Rattus norvegicus: one gene and its partners. Each later gene encodes a partner of the first gene's protein in a complex. Links are inferred from orthologs where the notes say so. Each region holds a gene or a part of one and is shown in the gene's direction. Other genes may lie near its edges.

The links.
Region 2: the proteins of Asf1a (region 1) and Cdan1 are in contact, whole or in part, in a cryo-EM structure (PDB 9CVC), measured with the Homo sapiens proteins. The link is inferred for Rattus norvegicus from reciprocal best matches to the Homo sapiens genes ASF1A and CDAN1. Residues at the interface, in NP_054753.1 of Homo sapiens: Gln5, Val6, Asn7, Asn8, Val9, Val10, Val11, Leu12, Asp13, Pro15, Asn20, Pro21, Phe28, Asp37, Val45, Ser47, Ala48, Glu49, Ser50, Glu51, Glu52, Asp54, Asp58, Ser59, Val60, Leu61, Val62, Gly63, Pro64, Val65; in NP_612486.2 of Homo sapiens: Arg195, Arg196, Ile197, Asn198, Thr200, Val202, Lys390, Leu391, His470, Glu471, Glu472, Pro473, Gly474, Trp475, Asp476, Lys538, Arg541, Arg544, Leu545, Gln546, Arg548, Leu549, Met550, Ala551, Pro552, Gln553, Ser554, Ser555, Arg806, Lys807.
Region 3: the proteins of Asf1a (region 1) and Tlk2 are in contact, whole or in part, in a crystal structure (PDB 7LO0), measured with the Homo sapiens proteins. The link is inferred for Rattus norvegicus from reciprocal best matches to the Homo sapiens genes ASF1A and TLK2. Residues at the interface, in NP_054753.1 of Homo sapiens: Val45, Ala48, Glu49, Glu51, Asp54, Asp88, Val92, Thr93, Val94, Leu96, Arg108, Gly110, Tyr111, Tyr112, Arg145, Thr147, Phe149; in NP_001271262.1 of Homo sapiens: Arg11, Arg12, Gln13, Leu15, Leu16, Glu17, Arg19, Phe20, Thr21, Gly22, Val23.
Region 4: the proteins of Asf1a (region 1) and H3f4 are in contact, whole or in part, in a crystal structure (PDB 8Z50), measured with the Homo sapiens proteins. The link is inferred for Rattus norvegicus from reciprocal best matches to the Homo sapiens genes ASF1A and H3-4. Residues at the interface, in NP_054753.1 of Homo sapiens: Val45, Ala48, Glu49, Glu51, Asp54, Val92, Thr93, Val94, Leu96, Arg108, Gly110, Tyr111, Tyr112, Asn114, Glu116, Leu140, Asn143, Arg145, Thr147, Phe149; in NP_003484.1 of Homo sapiens: Asp107, Leu110, Cys111, His114, Lys123, Gln126, Leu127, Ala128, Arg130, Ile131, Arg132, Gly133.

Annotation. Positions count from the first base shown.
Region 1 is NC_086038.1:33,439,374-33,443,466, forward strand, and holds part of Asf1a (histone chaperone ASF1A), read left to right. Parts: intron 1-2,683; coding exon 2,684-2,799; intron 2,800-4,093. UniProt on the Homo sapiens protein: Histone chaperone that facilitates histone deposition and histone exchange and removal during nucleosome assembly and disassembly.
Region 2 is NC_086021.1:128,128,767-128,131,538, reverse strand, and holds the end of Cdan1 (codanin-1), read left to right. Parts: exon of another isoform or gene 1-387; coding exon 388-495; exon of another isoform or gene 496-1,111; coding exon 1,112-1,237; 3' UTR 1,238-1,875; downstream 1,876-2,772. UniProt on the Homo sapiens protein: May act as a negative regulator of ASF1 in chromatin assembly.
Region 3 is NC_086028.1:90,733,048-90,737,140, forward strand, and holds part of Tlk2 (serine/threonine-protein kinase tousled-like 2), read left to right. Parts: intron 1-615; coding exon 616-705; intron 706-3,060; coding exon 3,061-3,230; intron 3,231-4,093. UniProt on the Homo sapiens protein: Serine/threonine-protein kinase involved in the process of chromatin assembly and probably also DNA replication, transcription, repair, and chromosome segregation. Phosphorylates the chromatin assembly factors ASF1A and ASF1B.
Region 4 is NC_086028.1:44,238,705-44,241,519, forward strand, and holds H3f4 (H3.4 histone), read left to right. Parts: upstream 1-1,577; 5' UTR 1,578-1,672; coding exon 1,673-2,083; 3' UTR 2,084-2,138; downstream 2,139-2,815. UniProt on the Homo sapiens protein: Core component of nucleosome. Nucleosomes wrap and compact DNA into chromatin, limiting DNA accessibility to the cellular machineries which require DNA as a template.

The DNA of each region.
Region 1 (4,093 bases):
CATAACTCTAGTAGTGAAACTGCTTGATAAATAAGCATTCCATCACATTCAGACCCAATGTGTGCCTGTTCCTGAGCCTCAGTTTGTTCTTCTTAAGGTTAGATTACCTCACTCTCCGTTACCTGTCTTTACCCACTCTCTCCTATCTTTTTTAAACTCATTACTTGAAAGCTGGAAGGCCAAGGCTTAAAAGCCCAAGCTTTTGAGTAGCAGCAACCCAGCTTTAATTATGGTTCTGATTTGTAAGCTTGTGAATTTTAGATCACTTAGCTTCTCCACCTTTCAGCTTTGCTTGTATTAGTGTGAGCACGCATGCACATGGACAGAGAGTATATATGTGCTTGAGTAATTCTATCTGTATGATGAAGCGTTTACCTCAGGTCAGTCAGTAGCTCTCATATGCCCTTCTCCTTAGCAGGATATCCACCTGGCTTTGCATTAATTACTTCCTTCATTGGGCCTGGCTTTCTAAACTACTGATTCATTCTCTTCCTGACCTGTCAACACTGGTGTTGACTAAGACTCATTTTACTCCTAGGAATCCCATCCTTGTCCTTGTTATTATGCATTATTGCCAAATTTCAATTCTTAAAAATTTGATTTTTGTGTGTTTATACTTAAACAACTAATAGGCATCTTAGACATGTATAAAACTTAACTCCTGATTTTCTTCTTTACACTGACACCCCCCCCCCCCCGCCCCCAAGTGGCTACTGTTGCTTCCATTTTCAAACTTTATCTGGGATGTGAATGCTTTACACCAGTCCCATGGCCACCACAACTCACCCATGCACTGTACTGTTTCTGTAGTGAACCACTGAACCAATCTCTTGTTCCCCTGTCCCCCCACAGCTTACACAAAACACAGCAAGTAAAATGATCCTTTAAGATAAAAGGAGGGTTCTGTCACTTTGTTTAAAACCTTCAGGGCAGTGGTTCTGACTTGTGAGCATAACTCCCAGAAGACTACTGGAAAACACCGATGTTTATATTACAATTCACTTGCTACATAACAGTAGCAAAATTGCAGTTATGAAGAAGCAACAAAATAATTTTATGGTCGGATAGTCACCAAACCTTGACAAACTGTTATTACAGGGTCACAGTATTAGCAAGGTTGAAAAACTGCAGCTGCAGGGCTGGGGCTGTAGCTCAGTGATAAAGTGGGTGCCTAGAACGTGTGAAAGTTCTGGGTTTGATGCCCAGCACAGCAAAATGGTGCTAGAAGTGTTAGGCCAAAATCCTTAATGGTGGGCATTAGGCCTTGTATGATGTGGCTGTGTTGCTCTCTATCATAAACTCAGGATTTGGTAACTTCTCTGTTCCAAAAATCCCAGCCTCTTGGCTAATCCTTGAACACATCAAATTGGTTTTTTACATTTGTGGCTGTTCTACTGTTCTTTCTGGTCAGAAAATATTATTGTCTCTTCCTAGATCCAACAAGTAAGTGCTGTGATAAGACGCCAAATGCAGAACCCTGAATCTGGAAATGTACTGAAAGCTGAAAATACAAACAGCCTTAGTCTGTGGCCCAGCCAGGACCTAATAGTAACTGCTGGCTTTTAAAACATTACAAATAACAAGGAAGTTGCAATTGAAAAAGTTTCAGTTTGCAAGTATAGTATGATTCAAAGAAGTTCCCAATACTCTTCCAAATTTAGGAGATACCCACATGGGCACACACAAGAATGGATTTGTTGATGCCTTCCAGAGTGAACCAGAGATTCAACCCCTTGGGAGTGCTTAGTATAGTCTCTCTGTAATGAAGCCAAGCACAGACCACATTACAGGAGATTGTCACCTTCCTCCTAGGTTTAAAGAGCAGATTCTCAGATTCCTTCAAAGAGCAATGGTTTTAATCCTCTCAATTCTTATAGAGAATTTTCTACAAGGGTGCTTAATGAAATCTAGGTTAAATTACAAGGCAAATCTTAGGTTAGGTTTGCTTGAGTGTATCGTGTCTCTGCCTGTATGCTATATAAATACTCTGCTCTATGAAGAGTTTTGTGGTTTTAAGAATGTATGGTAGAAAAGAGTATCAGGAGTAAGCAGCCCCACTGTCTGGTTGGTATCTGATTGGCATAGTTGGTAATACAATGTAAGTACAAGTTAGTAACACAGTTATTCTGTTAGCTAGTAAGAGTGATGAGGTAACAGATTGACGAATTCATGTCAGGAGATGAGCTGAAACTTCTGAACCACAAGGAAGGTTTGCTAATGATTTTTCCATTTTAGATTTTGTGATGATTTCTGTTTCATAAGGCGGCTTTTCTACAGCAGTGAAGTTAAAAATGGAGCACAAAAAGAGGCTGGGGGAATTGCAGAGTACATGAGCTTGGACAATGGGATTCCCCTTGTTCTTTACTAAAGGAGGTCTCCAGAGCTTACTGTGCCATTTTGCTTTATGAGTACCTGTGGCAAACGTTTAGGGTTTCCCCAACTTTTTTCACGTTTTACTTGTGAGGAACACCCTCCAGGGACCAGTGCTTTATGAAAGAGAATTAATTTGGAGAAGTTAATGGAATGAAATATGAATTATGGTGAGAGAGAAATACCTAAGTAACATTTCCTTATCTCCTTGGTCAAAAAACCATTTAGCCCTTCAGTGGTCAACAGAAGGGACTTTATCATGGGAATATATAATTGCTGCCATGAAATAATGGTTTTGGTTATTTTACCCTAGACTTGGAGTGGAAAATTATCTACGTGGGCTCTGCTGAAAGTGAAGAATACGATCAAGTTTTAGACTCTGTGTTAGTGGGTCCTGTTCCTGCAGGCAGGCATATGTTTGTGTTTCAGGTAAGACTGATTTCCATATATGAATACAGAGGATTCATATTGGAGTATATTCAGGGGTGTCATTGAGATTACTTTTGGGAACTAGACAGACTACAAGTATGCTGTGTGTACAAGGTTGAGTTTGTCCTGTGGGACTGTCTTTCAGGATGAAAGTATCCCCAAACACATTCAAATGGTGCTCTGGTCAGCACCATGCATGCATCTGCGGGTGGGATAGAACAACCTTATTTTGGTAGAGTCAGCAACTGCAAGGCGAAGAAATGTGTTAGCAGATAGAGACGTATGACTTGAGCCATTGGAATGACAGTCTAACACTTCACTAAAGCTTTAGTCTAGGTTTGATAGAGGAGCACTGGGACAAATCCATCCCCCGTTAGAGCTTGTGAGGAGAAACACTCTTAGTGTAAATCCTGTTCTCAGATGCCTCGGACAGTGTTCAGGACTTTGCCCAAGCTTTAGACAGTATCTTTTGTGAAAGAGTGTTATTTCTCCTGCTTTATTAAGTTGCTACATAAAACTAGTCATGTTTTCAATTATCCATGCTTCTTAGAGGGAGATATTTGTAATACTGCAAGGAGTAATAAGCTAGCTTTTAATTTTTGTTCGAAGTATTTCTGCCTAACCAAATCTTACTGCAGGCATAATCCAAGAGAAAAGTCTACTTCTTCCTGCACCTGGCCTCTGTTTCTCCCTTCACAGAGAGGACAATTTCAATGAATCCTCTCTTTGAAATAATTCCGGGGGTTGGGGATTTAGCTCAGTGGTAGAGCGCTTGCCTAGCATGCGCAAGGCCCTGAGTTCGGTCCCCAGCTCCGAAAAAAAAAAAAAAAAAAAAAAAAAAGAAACAATTCCCTTAGTAATGGGCAAGGAGTTGCTTAAGTGTTAGAGATGCCGCCTCTTAAATACAGAACTGAATCTGGCCTGAATGTTTTCTATTAGGAAACCCCAAATAACTTATTGTATATAAATAAATGGCTAAGAAAGGCTCAGCATCAGTAATTTAAAGGCTGTGATACTTTAATTAAAAGTGTCATGAAACTGAGTTGTGAGTGTGCATAGCCTTGTGAGAGCCATAGCAACACAACACAGCTGCCTAAGGAAGCCCTGCAGTCTTAGGCAGGCCTGGTGCCTCTGCTCACTACGATACGTAACCCTACTAATGACTTACACATAAAATTATGAGGAATAAGGCAATTAGCAAATTACTGACATAACTAGCTCTATCTATAATTAAAACTTTTTTTATTCCCATTATATAAAGAGGCATAATTTCCTTGGACCCACAAGCCTGGGG
Region 2 (2,772 bases), on another chromosome or scaffold:
TCTGATTATAGGTGGTTGTGAGCCACCATGTGTTGCTGGGAATTGAACTCAAAACCTCTGGAAGAGCAGACAGTATTTTTAACCTCTGAGCCATCTCTCCATCCCAAAACATTATTTCTCTGTGTAGCCAGAACTCTCTCTATATAGCTGGAACTTACTCTGTAGACCTGGCTGACCTGAGATCCTCTACCCCTGCACCTCTGCCTCTGCCTCCTGAGTGTTGAATTGCTTTTAACAGCATGTTGAGCCATTATCTCCAACTCTGTTATCTCCAGCTCTGTCCTTCGAGATGTCTACTCTTGGGACTACTGTACAGTCCTCAGTCTCTACTGTTAGGACTACTATATGATCCTGACAACTTTTGACTTTCTCTGTGGTGTTTTGCAGTGGGACCTGCTACTGTTCTTACTCCGGGAGCTGGTAGAAAAGGATCTCATGGGGCATTTGGAAATAGAAGCCTGCTTAGTCAGCCTTAATGAAGCCCAGTGGCCAGGGGTAAGGAATCTTAATGTTAATCCCTTTGTCTTGAAGATATGTCTCATTTGTCCTAAAGATTGCTTTTGTAGCCCACAAACCACAAACTTGCATTCTTTCTACTTGCTGGGAATGAGATTCTAACTGTGAGCCCACCATAGCTACAGCTATGTGCCTTTTTGCCAAAGTGTTTCCAGGACTACCACGAGACCATGTATTGGGTTTGATCTAAGTGACTACTTTGTAAGACTCTCAGAAGAACAGAGGGAAAGGAGGACAATTAGAAATAGGCATGGCACAGTGAATATTGGGGATTTGAAACTCAAGTAAATGTTGGCTTATATTTAAAATGCTCTTGTGATTTAGAGCAAAATAGTGCTGTTAAAATAAGATTAATACTTTGTGCTTGAAAATGTTAAAGCCTCTGCTTCTTAATAGAGTCCACTTTCCCTGCTGGAACTTAATGCCTCAGTTTACCAGCCATGGAGGTTTATATCCATTTCTGCAGAGAAGACATTAGATGAAATAGCTGGGTTATCAGTGTTTCACTGGCTGTGAGTGATTATTCGGGTGGGACTGACCTTAGAAAGGACAGAACATCCAGAATTACTTTTCTTAACCTTTCTACTTACTTTAGGACTTCTCAGAAGAATTGTCAACACTATTTCGCTTGTTCCTAGCTGAGCCCCATCTGCTAGAACCCCAGCTGAGAGCTTGTGAACTTATGCAACCAAATCGAGGGACAGTGCTAGCCCAAAGCTAGGGCTGGGAAGCAGCCCTCTTGGGCAAGTCACCAGAACCTGCCTCCTGAGCCTCAGGAGGAGGCTCAAGAACCCACTGCACGCCCTGCTGGGGCAAGAGTGTCCAGGTGTGTAATCGGGCTTGCTGCTCTGCTCCTAAGTGAAGGAAGTGTGTTGCTTCAAGCATCCAGATGCAGGCCTCAACACCTGAGATCTAGAGGAAGGAGAACCTGATTCAGAGTCACAGTGGAAAAGCCCAGAGACTCTAACCTTGGAGCAAAAGGGCTAGCATTTCTAATCCAGATGCTAAAAGAAATGCGTGTGCTGATCAATGTTATTTCGAGCCTCAAGTTGCTGCTATCCCAGCATCTCTTGAAACTTTGTGGTTCTGAGAAATCTTAATAGGCAAAGAACTTCTGCTTATGAGAACATTGACAAAACATTTTCTTGAGTCCAGAAGCTGGACTGTCACCCCTACCCCCAAATATTGGCAGCCAATAAGGTAGGAATCACCTAAGTGGAACTTGGTCTCATATGGACCTTCGCCTCTTTGCAGGGAGTTAGTCAGACTAAGCCTGGTATAGAAAATTTAAGGGGCTTGGGTTTGTTTTTTTTTTTTTTTTTTTTTTTTAAATAAAATTTCTAACAAGGTCTTGATGGCTATTCTCCCCTCTGAAGTGGGCTTTGTGCATTGCAGTGTGTGCTTCTTCACGGTGTCTGCATTCTGTCAGTCTGAGAGACACAATCTGCTACTCTCCATGTGCTCCCTGCTGTCTATGCCGACCCACATGGCAGGTAGCTTTGGTGATATTTGTACTGTAGGCACTGGGATGTCTGATTTAACTCAAAACTTCTGACCAAAAGCAGTCTTCTGGGTTATAGTTAGCAAGACCTCATTTCTATAAATGGGGTGACGTTTTTATTATACTCAGAGTGTCTGCACTCAAGTGCTATGGCGCACTTCTGGAAGTTGAAGGACAACTTGCTGGAGTCAGTTCTCATTTTACCATGTGGATCCAGGGCTCAAATTCAGGTCACTGGGCTTAGCCTTCAGCTATTTTGACAGCCCCTGTAACCAGCTGATTTTTAAGGGGGTTTTGTTTTGTTTATCAACACAGGGTTTCTCTTTGTAACCCTGGCTGTCCTGGAACTCACTCTATATACCAGGATTGCCTTAAACTCATAGAGCTCTGCCTGCCTCTACCTTCCAAGTTCTGGGATTGAAGGCATGTGCCCAAAGATGACAGTATTTTGAAAATGTGATATATCCCTGTAAAACTATTTTTCTGTTTGTTTGTTTTGGTAGTAAGCCTCAGGCTTTAGTGGAAGGATCAGAATGTGCTCAGTAATGACTCCTGAAGTTAACTGCAAAATCTTTTCAGCTGGCAAAATGGTTTTTGACCTGAGGAAAGTTAAGTTTCTCTAAACTTACACTCCAGTGCTATTTAATTCTAGTGTATGCCTCTTCTTCCTTCCCCTAAGTCCTTTTCCAAATCTAGGATTGGGCCCAGGGGCCTTGACTCATCGTTAACGACAACCTACTCAGTTCTGTCAATGC
Region 3 (4,093 bases), on another chromosome or scaffold:
ATTTTCAGAGGTGCTGGGGTCCATGTTCTGATCCCCATGCTTGCATAGCAAGCAAGCACTTAGTCATTATACCATCTCCCCAGTCCTTGGAAGCATCACTATAGGAGAGAAGACTAATTTTTAGTGTTGGGGATTAGCATAAAAGAGGTGTGGTTGTCACAGAAGAGTTGGCATCCGTTCATTTAAGAAATATTTGAGGGCTGGAGTGAGGCTCAGAGATTAATAAGCACATGGACTACTTACTCTTTCAGAGGCCCTGAGTTCATTCCCAGCACATGGGAACCACATGGTGGCTCACAACCATCTGTAATGGAATCCCATACGCTCTTCTGGTGTGTCTGAAGAGAGTAACAGTGTACTCACATACATAAAATAAGTAAATGTAAAAGAAAATACTTTTTAAAAAAAAATATTTGAGCACCTACTACTTTCTCAGTGGCAATAGATAGAAAAGATGAGTGGAAGTAGACTGATGAGAGTGATTAGGTGGGTTGACCAGATGCCTCTAAATGGAGCAAAGAGTGGACCTGTGGGAGTGGGAAGTGCTAGAGAAGTGAGGGTAAGTTCTGACCAGCAGGCCAATGCTTGCTTTTTACGCTTCCATTGTGTTTACAGGCATGCGTGTAGGGAATACCGGATTCACAAAGAACTGGATCACCCCAGAATAGTGAAGCTGTATGATTACTTTTCACTGGACACTGACTCGTAAGTCCCACCCCTTCCCCTTACTTTATCTTCTTGACATAATGAATCCTTGTGGACTGGAGCTTAGATCTGATAATTTACAGGCAAATATTTATAACAATTCAGATTTGGATCAGCCAGACATCTCTTGACTAAAGGATAAGGACACTTGTATGCTGGTAAAAACTGTCTTGACAGAAAGTTAAGGTGATTGTCAGTATTTGTGGCATAAATATTTCCATTATGTCCAATGTTAAGATACCAACTTAAAAAATTAGCGAACTTTATTCTAATTTATATACCATAAGATTCATCCATCACAATTGAGTGGGTTTTCATGTGTGTCACAGATCTATATGGACATTATCCAAAATCATTTTGACGTTTTCACTCTCAGAAGAAACCTGAACCTTTTTACTGTCACTTCTCCATTTTACTCTCCCTCTGTTTAAGCAGACACTGCTATCTGTAACCTTAGAAATGGTGTTGGGAACAGTCTCACATGTGGAATCATGTAGTATGTGGTCCTTTGTAACTGATTTATTTCAGTTAACATGATGCTTATCCATCCATGTGTGTGTCTGTTGTCCTTATTTGTTTATCCCTTCTTACAGCCAGATTTATCAATTCTTCTTAGTCTTACATAGAGTTGTCTAGCCCAGCTCACAGTGTTCCTGAAAGCGTAGCAGTCAGTCCTTACCTAGGAACTGGTTCAGGCTGGTGCTGTCATGGCACTAGCAGGCCTAGTGATCGTGAGTATAGACTGTTGAAGAGAGCCTCAGCCCCACTCTGGAGACTGAGGAGCCCAGCCAGCCTTAAGTACCACAGTGTCCTAAAGCAGGAAGGTTTACGTGACAAAAGTAAAGAGAGCCCAGTGCTGCAGGTTGGAATACAGGTTCCTGGGCAATAGGATTTTAGAATTGGGAGGGGGTCTTAGGGTTCAGCCTTTTGGAGTATCAGAAAAACAAAATTATTTGTGTGAGATTTTGGTCCTCTTGATACCAAAACTCAGTAAACTGCAGCGCATTTGGGTTTATTCGGGGCTTAGGGATATTTCAGTGTTTGGAAACTTTTAGTTGCAGATAGGCCTGAGTCAGAAGAGCATAAGATCCCTTAGGCCTGGCCTGTAGATGGTACCTCAGTCTCCAAAGGATGTCCAGGAGTTTGGTCTATCCACCTGGAAGCTCTCTCAGACAAGCAGCCCATGTGTAGACATGTATCCAAGAAGAGGGTCTGACTCATTTCAGCATCTCAGATAAGAATGAGCATTTTGAACAGGCTCCCAGAGCATTGGCATGCCTTTTAGGTGTCATAAAAAGTATAGTTTATTGTTCAGTCCTGAGATTCTGCAAGTGTGTTTTTGTAGTCAGTTGCAGGGTGGCTTGAAGTTCAGCTTATAGCTGCTCACCGCTACCCCTCATTCCACTGCATTGGGAGGCATCTCTGGTAAGCCTTGTCAGTGGGTGTTCAGCTGGGTTGACCTAGTGGGTATGCACACAGCTCTGGTTTCCCTTGTGACCTGATTTCTCATAGCACCACCTTCATCCTCTGACCCTCTGGTTTTAAGCTGCTAACAGCTTCCTGCTGTAACTGGTCACTAGGGTGTCTTACTGGACAGTTTGTCCTTTTAGATCTTCAGCATACGAATCAAAGCCTCTGTCTTCAATATTCAAGTGGTTTTTATTCCCTGGTTAAGTCCTGACTGAGAAACCATAACCTAAAAATATTTTTTAAAGTATTTTTATCTCTCAGGAATATTCAAAAAATACAAGGAAACATCAATTTGAATAGTCGGGGGGATAGATGCGTTACTTGTAGTACCAACAATGGTGTGCAGTTTTAAATGGGGAATGAATGATATATTGACATAAATATGAGTAAAAGAATTCATACCATATGGAACACATTTGTGTAACCTTTTGCCAGACATAGTATACAACCAGTTCTTGAGACATGGGCAGAACCTAGACTCTTCCTTAGTGTATGCATTCGGTTTTAATAGACACATGCAAGGATAATCGTGTGATTGATCACTGTATAATAATGGACATGTGCTAAGGGTATTCAAAGGAGACCCTGCTATAAGAGGATGGCTAGCTCACACATTATAGTTCTTGTCAGTGTTCTTAGAAGAACTATGCCATAGTGAACTTTGGCACAGTTGATGCCAGTATGGAGATTGCAGAAGCTCATCTCCAAGAGAGCAGTTACCTCACCTCCTATAAGCTTTGGCGGCTGATGCAGAATAGAAGAGTGTTTTGGGAACAAAGAAGAAAGGAATAGAAGCTGTAATACCTGAGTTTTCACTGAGAGTGGTTTAGATAGTTTTAATCTGCTTTCTACTCCACTGTTAAATGCTGGTTTATGTGTCTTCAGGTTTTGTACAGTATTAGAATACTGTGAAGGAAATGATCTGGACTTCTACCTAAAGCAGCACAAATTAATGTCGGAGAAAGAAGCCCGATCCATTATTATGCAGATTGTGAATGCTTTAAAGTACTTAAATGAAATAAAACCTCCCATCATACACTATGACCTCAAACCAGGTATGGCTGACTTTGTGTCTTTTAAGTGACCTTTAAGTTTGTTAAGAATTTGACAGGAGCTATGAAGACCCAACAGTACATCACTGTGGATGCCTGGGCAGGAGTGAGAAGAAAGGAGTCCTGGGCTGCCTGGTGCTGGGGGTGGGTGGATAGGTGGGTGGGTGAATGAGTTAGATGAAATTCTCTGGAGAAACAGTACCTTTGTGTGTTGAACAAGGAACATGAATGATGTCATTTAGGGACAACTGTTTTGGCAAGTTCCATTTTGGCTTTGTCCCATTATTCGCATATGCAGTAGTTTATCTCAGGTCTCCCTGATAAGTACACATATGCCTCATTTCCTCAAGACCTGAGCAGTTTTATATAATTATCATTTAGCTTGGTAGGCATCAGGAAAAGGCAAGAAGCTTTTTCCTCCTTACCTTTTGTTTTTGTTAGGTGGCTTTTAGTTTGTTTAAATGTGTGTGCTTGTCATCTTCTTTTCTGTGGAGCTGTAGCTTGGCCTTCCTCTTCTGTTGGCTGTGACCACTCACTGGTCTGTTTCTAAAGTCACTACACTTTCCTGTTGTAGGTGGCGCTGTGGCACCACTTTTGATTCCCAGAATGCTTTCTTTAGATCTCCCCCACCCCCACCTTCCTGAAATTGCTGTTCTAGGCTGGCTAGCATAGAGAGCACACTGAAAGTTCATGTGAAATTTTCCCACCATTTTTTTTTTCATTTTCTTTCTGTTTTTAATCACCTGTACAAGTGATATTTTACTTTGGCAAGTCATTTTTATTTCCAGTGCCCAGCATAGGTTTTGGCACATTAAACAGGAGATTCTAAGAAAATAGAAATTTCCAGTGGTCACTGAAGATTCTCC
Region 4 (2,815 bases), on another chromosome or scaffold:
GGATGAAGGACTCCTTTCTCCCTGGCTCCGTCAGGATATCAAACACTGTGTGTCGCTGAAGTCTCACAGGGTCGTGCATTCCGGTTAGTTCTTTCTGAAAGTGAAGCCATTTTCCCTGTCACTGTGTCCATAGCTGGCACTAGTGCCAGGATGCCCCGGTTCCCGGGCACCACCAATGGACTACCCATGTCCTCCGGTTGATGTAGCGCCTCCCCGCGACCGCACCCCTGGGCTCTGTTTAAACTACACGTATATGTTTAGAAGCAAAACACCATGATTGTCAGTGCATTCTGTTTTGTTTTGTTTTTTAAACCAAGTCCGTAAGGATGCACCGCAGTTTGATTTCTTTCCTTTACTGGACTCACGTTTTTGAAATTATGTGGATGACCTCTGAATTATGTGGATGACCTCTGACGTGGTCTAAGTAACTAACCATTATTACTATTGTTTGATGTCCAGATTGTGACCTTTGGGAGATCCTTGAATACAACCCATGCCATCCTTAAAATCTTTGCTTCAGAAATCTTTTATGATTTTTTTCAGATCTAAAGGTGCTTTATTTTGTTTGATAAAGTGTACACTAAGCCTCAAAATTGTTATCTTTCTGTTCAGCCACCGAGTGCTGAGGTTATAAGCATGGGCCACTGTCCTTTGAGTCATTTCTTTCTTTCAGATTTTTTTTATTAATGCATGTTAACTGTGCTTAGTAATGGCTTTCATTTTGATAACTTTACACACACAATCTTTGTTCATATCTGCACACACATCAGCTCTCCCCTTTTCCCTCTTCCCTCTGGTCACCTTTCTCTCCATAAGTACCCATCCCCATTTTTATGATTAAAAAAAAAAATCTAGCTTCCACATGCTAGAGAACCCATGCCATGCATTTCTTCCTGGATCCGGCTTACTTAACTCTGTGATCTTGAGTTCTTCCCATTTTTCCGGCAAATAACATTTTATTTTTTCATTTTTCTTTTATTGAACTTTTCTAATTCTACCCCCCCATTTTAAAAAAAAGTGCTTTAATATGTAACCCCAGTTAGCCTCAAACACACAGATATACACCGTTCTCTGCCTCCCAAGTCCTAGAATTAAGCTTAACTTCCGAGCTACCTCCCTCCAGCCCTCACCCATGTCCACGCCACCCCAGGGGTGTCCTTAAACCAGGTGGGGTTTTTTTGTTTGTTTGGTTGGTTGTTTGTTTGGTTGGTTGATTGGGGGTTTTGGGGGGGGGTGTTCTTGTTTTAGTATTCCAGAACTCAGGAAAACTATGCCTTGCTGCAGAAAGGTTCTAGAATGTTCTTTGTGTCTTGGGGTCGAGGCAATGTTGGGTTTTTTTTGTTTGTTTGTTTGGTTTTTTGTTTTTTTGTCTGTTTGGGTTTTATTTCTTTAAACAACAACAACAACAAAAGGCTCTGAGAAAACAACTTGAGTTTTTCTACAGTCCCCACTGCATTCCTACCGAGCCTCAACTAACGGCTCTGGAAGCCACACCGCTCAGAGAGAATGTAAGAGGCAGGGTGTAAAGTAGAGACCCCAGTAGACCAATCAGAGTGCAGCATCCCATAATGCCACCTGGCGGGCAACCAATAGGAATGCAGCTGGGTCTATAAAAGCTGCGGTGCTCGCCACCCTCTGCACCTGAGGAGAGGAGGGAATACGGCCCAGGAAGATGGCACGCACCAAGCAGACAGCACGGAAGTCGACGGGAGGCAAGGCTCCACGCAAGCAGCTAGCCACGAAGGTGGCACGCAAGAGCGCTCCAGCCACCGGCGGCGTGAAGAAGCCGCACCGCTACCACCCTGGTACTGTGGCATTGCGAGAGATCCGGCGCTACCAGAAATCCACCGAGCTGTTGATCCGCAAGCTACCGTTCCAGCGCTTGGTCCGTGAAATCGCCCAGGACTTCAAGACCGACTTGCGCTTCCAGAGCTCGGCTGTAATGGCGCTGCAGGAGGCCTGCGAGTCGTACCTCGTGGGGCTCTTCGAGGACACGAACCTGTGCGCTATCCATGCCAAGCGGGTTACCATCATGCCCAAAGACATCCAGTTGGCTCGGCGCATACGCGGAGAACGGGCTTAGACCTCCACAGGCACTGCTCATCAACCAACCCAACGGCTCTTTTCAGAGCCACCCACAGATTCGGAAAACAGTGTTGTAACCAAGATTTCTTTGATCTCCTTCACTTCTGGAGATCAAGACACAGTGGCTGGGGATCCAAGTGGCTTCCCAGGGATAGGGTTAGCGAGGTCAGCAGCTGATCCTTGCCCTGTGGGCTGTTCAGCTTAAAGTACATCCCATTCTAACCTGCCTTCTCTTAACAGGTATCGTGGCCTGAGCCTTTGTAGTGCAACGTTAATAGCTGTATTGGTGACTGTCCTTGTCCAATGAAGGCAGGAGCCCAGCTCCTACGGGTAGTAAACATACTGTCACAACTATAGTGTTCGCATGGTGGATAGTACCCAAATGCGTCCACAACAGTTATCAATCAAGTAAGTTTTGTTAATTGCCTAGTGTTTTGAGTCAGATTTGGCCTGAAGTTAAAAAGGCTAGCTGTTCCTGTGCCTTAAAAGTTAACTTTGCCCGTCTGTTACAGCGGTGGCAGAAGTCAGGGAAATGCTAACTTACATAATTCCAGGGGACACATCCAGAAAATTCTGTATTAGAGGATTCCTGTAGGGTAGGAAAGCCCAGCTATTGTATTGACTCAACCTGATTGGTAAGCAATAGGAACCTCTTATCAAGAGGATGTTTTGCCCTGTAGTTTAATTCTCTGGGTGTTAGTATATTGTCCCTACAAAGAGCTGGTGGTGT